Linked DNA regions of Saccharomyces cerevisiae S288C. Changing the gene in region 1 together with any one later gene gives a genetic interaction. Each region holds a gene or a part of one and is shown in the gene's direction. Other genes may lie near its edges. The genes, in order: COQ10 and NDI1.

What was found.
Region 2: of COQ10 (region 1) and NDI1, changing one suppresses a phenotype caused by changing the other (phenotypic suppression), as found in Saccharomyces cerevisiae (one study listed by BioGRID).

What each region holds. Positions count from the first base shown.
Region 1 is NC_001147.6:308,604-311,600, forward strand, and holds COQ10 (ubiquinone-binding protein COQ10), read left to right. Parts: upstream 1-1,708; coding exon 1,709-2,332; downstream 2,333-2,997. Other genes in the region: RCL1 (rRNA-processing endoribonuclease), read left to right, coding at 1-438; ERMES complex subunit MDM12, read right to left, coding at 721-1,536; CSI2 (Csi2p), read right to left, coding at 2,739-2,997. UniProt on the Saccharomyces cerevisiae protein: Required for the function of coenzyme Q in the respiratory chain. May serve as a chaperone or may be involved in the transport of Q6 from its site of synthesis to the catalytic sites of the respiratory complexes.
Region 2 is NC_001145.3:27,766-32,066, reverse strand, and holds NDI1 (NADH-ubiquinone reductase (H(+)-translocating) NDI1), read left to right. Parts: upstream 1-2,259; coding exon 2,260-3,801; downstream 3,802-4,301. Other genes in the region: YML119W (uncharacterized protein), read right to left, coding at 383-1,456; Rag GTPase GTR1, read right to left, coding at 4,205-4,301.

The sequences.
Region 1 (2,997 bases):
GTTAACATAACGGCAGATGTCTGGAGAGGTGAAAATTCAGGGAAGAGTCCAGGCTGGGGTATTACTTTGGTTGCTCAGTCCAAGCAGAAAGGTTGGAGTTATTTTGCAGAAGATATCGGTGATGCAGGTTCTATACCTGAAGAACTTGGTGAAAAAGTTGCCTGTCAATTATTAGAAGAAATATCAAAGAGTGCAGCAGTTGGTAGAAACCAGCTTCCATTAGCAATTGTTTACATGGTCATCGGGAAAGAAGATATCGGCAGATTGAGAATTAATAAGGAACAGATAGACGAAAGATTCATAATCCTCTTGAGAGATATTAAGAAGATCTTTAATACTGAAGTCTTTTTAAAACCAGTTGACGAGGCGGATAATGAAGACATGATAGCTACTATCAAGGGTATTGGTTTCACAAACACAAGCAAAAAGATTGCATAGCATGTTCTAATATTATTCAATAGATATTAGACCACTGTATATAAGTTATATATATATATATGATTATTTAGGTGTAACTTCACGGACAACTGTCTAGAGTATAAGATTACTGGAGGATCATTGATGATTTCCTTTAACTCTTTTGGGTCATCTAAAATATCATCAAAGAGCGTATGCGAAAAGCGCGTTAAGAATAGATTACTTCATGACAAAATATAATTTTCCAGCTCAAAAATGTTTGTTTTTTTATGTAGACACTATTTTCAAACTATCTTTGTTAAATTACTCATCACCATCGTTGAAATCCAGATTAATCCAACTTGGCCATGCTAACTCCTTTCTTAAAAAATCTTTGAATATCGTAAACAAAAACTGTTCTAGTTCTCCAACACTTCTTAATACTGAGCCCTGTCCCTGATATTGTTCCCCTATTTCGGTTTCAATCTTCATACTTCTCACAATGGATATTCGCTCCAATGGCTTAGTAGCTGCCAGAATTGGCCCCTTAGGATCTAAAACAGTTTGGTTGTCATCCAGTGCAGGATCACTAACATCACACAGAAAGCTAAGAAATAGTTGCTTTGATAAACATGCAACAATGCAAAGGGAATGGAGACCGATATCACTGATAGAAAGTTTTACTGGCAAAGTCATAAATTTTTCTACGGGATAATTCAGCACAAGGTCGGCACCAATCGTAACGAGTAAGTCACCCTTGTACTCGACCTCTAGTAAAAATTGTATATCGTTGGGGGATGGCATCACCACAGGCGCCTCAAAATCATCTTTAGGTCCTTCATGATTAGCTATAGTACGATCAGGACAAATATGTTCGCTGTCCTCCTTGTTGTCATTATTTTCCTCCGTCTCTTGATCAGCCTCCTCTCTAATTGAATCATAAAACTCATCTAGGGGATCTGTTATTTCTTTCAGTGTTATAGCAGGACCAACTTTTCCCAGATCAAAATCTAGTACCCTAAGATTACTTACGTAGCTTGGTAGTTGCGTATTTTGTAAATATGAATTTAAATGTTTTCTTATAAGATCATTCAGTCTATTGTCAGATTCCAATGTACTCCAATTAATATCAAAAGACATTTGGATTAGTTGAAGCCAGCTTATGATCTGTTTCAACCGTTACATAGGATGGCATGCTTTTTCTCATGTTAGAGAAAAATTTAAAGATCGAGTTGTCTGAAAAACCTGAACTATTTAAAACGAATAATAGGATAAGGAGCCAAACAATAAACGGCTAAAGATACCGTGGAGAATGGTTTTGATAATAAGGCCCTCACAGACATTGATATTATTCAGGAAAGCGATGCTCAAGCCAATTGGGAGATATCCTCTTAAAAGAAATTTTTTTGGTTTGAGCGGTACCAATCACACTATTAGGGAACAGCGATATGTTTTGCGCAAGGCCATAAACGCCCCTCCAAGCACAGTCTACGCTGCAGTGTCAGAAGTTGCCCAATATAAGGAATTTATTCCTTATTGTGTTGATTCGTTTGTAGATAAACGAAATCCTGTGGATAACAAGCCTCTCATTGCGGGGCTTCGAGTTGGTTTCAAACAATACGATGAGGAATTTATATGCAATGTTACCTGTAAAGATACTGATCATACGTATACCGTTGTTGCAGAAACAATATCTCATAATTTGTTTCACCTTTTGATTTCGAAATGGACCATAATGCCTCACCCAAATAGACCAAATGCGGCCATGGTAGAACTTCTATTAAGATTTAAATTCAAATCTCGGATATATAACAGTGTCTCTCTAATATTTGCGAAAACTGTGACTGAATTGGTGATGAACGCATTTGCCAAAAGAGCATACCATTTAGTAAGATTAGCAATGCTAAAACCTTCTTCTAAAGAAGGCTCTCCGTGATATCTTCCGTATAATTTCAGATAACAAAGATCATGCCATCCAGGATAAGCGTATGCATGGTTAAATTTTTAGACTATAGAACAAGATTTTTCTGTATAGTTATGTTTATAGTATTTAAGCTTTCTAACAAGCTCCAGTAGGGGCGGAGGATACAAACAAATATATTTTGCTGCAAAATTTCCTGGTCTTCCGTCGCAATCAACAAGTTGATACGCAGATGCACCATTTTATTCATTGGCAAAGTACGATCAGTTTAGTGCTTGTATCTGTATGCGAAAAAAGAATGGTGTACTAAAAACAGCGCATGGTGATGGCGAGGAATTTACACGTATCCTCTCATTAATTGAAGTATTAGGTTTTCGAGTCGCACTTAGTGTAAATGAGGTGTAGAAAGGTGGGGACGCAATTATTCCTTACCGTCGAGCAGTTGATCCAGATGAACACTGGGAGGACGGTACTTCTTTACTTTACCCTGACTAACATTTGATTTTGGAGTAGAGCGGTCTTCAGAGTCGGGACTTAAATTGTATGATGTATAATTGAATGGATTAGTGCTGTCTGTAAACTTTCCCAGTATTTGGGTAGCACCAGGTTCCCTTGGAGTACTGGACAAGGAATCATATATAGCACTCTCATTGCTTTGAGACCATGTATTAGAGTTGTTG
Region 2 (4,301 bases), on another chromosome or scaffold:
ATTTGGTACGTATATTATTTATTATTCTGCAACTTGTTTACTGCATGATAATATTGAAATAAAGTGAAGAGAAGACGGCACAGAGAAATTACAATGGCGCAAACGTAAGGCAAAAATGGCACAACGAATTCTGAATTCGATTGCTGGATCACTTTTCAAAGATATTGTGTTCGGTTGTGACAAAGGCATCATTAAAATAATTATATGTCTTTTGTCATAAATTTAGATCGTTAATAGGCTTTTTTTTGTATTTTTAATTCACATGTTAAATGTTTCGTTTTGGCAACTAATAATAAACTACATTAAGTAAAATGCAAAACTTCAAAGTGCGGAAAAATGTATTGGTATATAAATACTATAGACAGAATACAGAGAATCCGTATCATTTCAAAGGTTCATTACTTAGTATCTCCGCAGGGAGGATTCTGTTGTTCGCACTTCTCTGCTGAAAGCTATCCTCCTCCTCATCTTCCTCATCTTCATCTGAAATGGCGATGCTAAAAGAATCTACCATTCGAAATATATCAGATCTATCCATTGCCTTTCCATCAAAACTCAATTCAAAGCTTTCGTTGGCATTTGTGGAAACACTGGCCCCGGCTCTCTGCTTCGCATTGGAATTAGGGAGATTCTTTACGGGCTTGCTGTTACCTTGCAGCTGCTTTTGTTGCCGTAACGTTGATGTCAGCTGCACTCCGCATAATTCGTCTAGTGATTTTGAGATCCGTGTCTTACTATTTGTGGACAATTGAATAGGTTGCAAGAAGTGATAGTTTTTCTCAAACTTCAACGAAATTAGCAGGATTATGATTTTTTTGGATATATCGTCTATCGTTTCGTGCACTGGAGATGGTAATTTATATGTGGTAACGACGGACCTAGGTAAGATGCACTTCTTGATGTTGAAATTTGTTTTTGATTTCGTGGGAGAATTCGTCAACTTAGGTGCCACACTAGTGCTACTTCTTGTACCATACAAATCAATTGGCTTGGTAAAATACCGTTTCTTTGTACACGTTCTGGAAGGAAAAATAATTTCATTTATGCTGCTCACTTCCTTCGTTTGATTGAATTTAAGAGATTTAGAATTTAAATGCGACACCGACTGATGATGCGGATGGGAATTTACATTGGTGTTTGCAGCGCCCATGGTATTTGTATATCTAGATGGCCTGTTATTATTACTGCTACCGCCCCCGGTATAATGGTCTTCATTAACTCCTTTATTAACCTGCGAAATACTGTTAAACCTTGGTCTCAGGTTTTTTGTGGGTGACTCTGGATAATAGAAAAACTGCTGGTTGGAATCGAAAGTCGCTTTTTGTTGGAAGCTCAGGACTGGCTGCTGATTCAAATTAAACTGCGTAGGAGGCAGGACCAGCCCACCGCTGTTATTGATGTAAGATGATTTGTTATTGAGCGTCCTTCTTGGCGACACTGATGGACTTGGGCTCATTGCTACCTACTTTTTTTCTTACTGACCTAAGGCTGCAGGTGCAAGAAAAGAGTAAAAGAATGTTAAAATACGTTTTGAAAGGTCTCTGTTTTCATGTACAATTGAGGGATAAAAAAATCTTTTCTTTCTTTCAATGCGGATGATTGACACTTTCTTATTTTGTGTTTTTATTTATGTTCTTTCCTAATCTGGAAAGCATATTAAAGACCGGCGCTACCCGGTTAAGTAATCATACACGTGAAAAGCACGTGAACAACAAAGCACTTTAAAACTCATATACTACGCATTTAAAGAATGCTAAAACGGCAATTGCCACTGGGCACCATTTAAAAGGTCAATAATGAATCTGTGACCTTTCTTTGCTATAGCATCACTACAACTATGTGTTGCTTGTCGCTAGCAACGAACCTATTATTCCTTCGCTTTATTGTCGAAGACCACAAAATACTCCAAAGCAATAGAATGTCTCTTTCCGCAAATAACTTACTCAGGGAAACAATACGAATATGTGCAGATTGCCGATCATTGCTGAAATGCCTCAAAAATATGCATTTTCTCATGACCTATTCATTCGGACCAATCATATGAAGGCATTGAACGTCCGGGTAACCACAATAAGAGTGCTCCCCCTTAGCGCTCTTGGTTATTGCCGGTATTTGCAACGTCGACAGGGTATATATAAGATGTATAGGGCATAGTGGGGAAGGAGTTTTAACTACCAATTGAGGAGTTTCAGGTAGGGTGTCAGTTTCATCACATCATCGAATTACACGTTTACCCAAGAGAAGAAACTAAAAACCACTATGCTATCGAAGAATTTGTATAGTAACAAGAGGTTGCTCACCTCGACGAATACGCTAGTCAGATTCGCTTCCACCAGATCCACAGGGGTGGAAAACTCCGGAGCAGGTCCTACATCTTTTAAGACCATGAAAGTCATTGACCCTCAGCACAGCGACAAACCAAACGTGCTGATACTGGGTTCGGGGTGGGGAGCTATTTCGTTTTTAAAGCACATTGACACCAAGAAGTACAACGTTTCCATCATCTCTCCTAGAAGCTATTTCTTATTTACGCCTTTGTTACCTTCTGCACCAGTTGGGACAGTAGACGAAAAGTCAATTATTGAGCCCATCGTTAATTTTGCTCTCAAGAAAAAGGGGAACGTTACCTACTATGAGGCAGAAGCCACCTCTATCAATCCCGACAGGAATACCGTTACCATAAAATCATTATCTGCCGTTAGCCAGCTATACCAACCTGAAAACCATCTAGGGCTGCATCAAGCAGAACCTGCTGAAATTAAGTACGATTATTTAATCAGTGCTGTAGGTGCGGAACCTAACACATTTGGTATTCCTGGGGTCACTGATTACGGTCATTTCCTGAAGGAAATTCCCAACTCTTTGGAAATAAGAAGAACTTTTGCCGCCAATCTAGAGAAGGCTAACTTATTGCCAAAGGGTGATCCCGAAAGAAGAAGACTACTGTCCATTGTCGTGGTTGGTGGTGGGCCTACTGGTGTAGAGGCCGCTGGTGAACTACAGGATTATGTTCACCAGGACCTGAGAAAGTTTCTCCCTGCATTGGCCGAAGAAGTCCAAATTCACTTGGTCGAAGCTCTGCCCATCGTTTTGAATATGTTTGAGAAAAAGCTTTCATCATACGCGCAATCACATTTAGAAAACACTTCGATCAAAGTACATCTGAGAACGGCTGTCGCCAAAGTTGAAGAAAAGCAATTGTTGGCAAAGACCAAACACGAAGACGGTAAAATAACCGAAGAAACTATTCCATACGGTACTTTGATTTGGGCCACGGGTAACAAGGCAAGACCGGTAATCACTGACCTTTTCAAGAAAATTCCTGAGCAAAACTCGTCCAAGAGAGGATTGGCAGTGAATGACTTTTTGCAGGTGAAAGGCAGCAACAACATTTTCGCCATTGGTGACAATGCATTTGCTGGGTTGCCACCAACCGCCCAAGTAGCGCACCAAGAGGCCGAATATTTGGCCAAGAATTTTGATAAAATGGCTCAAATACCAAATTTCCAAAAGAATCTATCTTCAAGAAAGGATAAAATTGATCTCTTGTTCGAGGAGAACAACTTTAAACCTTTCAAATACAACGATTTAGGTGCCTTAGCATACCTGGGATCCGAAAGGGCCATTGCAACCATACGTTCCGGTAAGAGAACATTTTACACCGGTGGTGGCTTAATGACCTTCTACTTATGGAGAATTTTGTACTTGTCCATGATTCTATCTGCAAGATCGAGATTAAAGGTCTTTTTCGACTGGATTAAATTAGCATTTTTCAAAAGAGACTTTTTTAAAGGATTATAGATGAAATTAACATGCCCTTTTCTGGAAAAAGGAAAAAAGGTGGTAGGCACCGTTTTTTCCTGAGTTTGCATCCTTTTTTTTCTAAAACCCTCTAAACAAAACCTAACACACACACACACGCACAAAAAAATGCACATGATGTTTTATTATTTATATATTCCCACTTTTTTCGAAATGATGCTTGACTAATGCACAAGCAAAAAACCCCGACAAGATTGGTTGATCACTTCAGCTTTTTCCTCCCATTGTCCTATATATATATCTGTGATTATTTATTTCTTCCTCTTATGTTTCTCTATTTATTTTATACGCCAAATCCCATTTGTATATACGTAACGAAAGCTTTATAATTCTTATGCCCCGCAAACACTCAATTGCCGAATGTTTCGTCTACTCACCTCAGTCATTGGAAAAACTCTTTGGCTTTTTTGATGTTTTCCAATACTAATTCTTGTGGAATATTCATATCTTTCAACACTATAAAACACACCATATTGGAC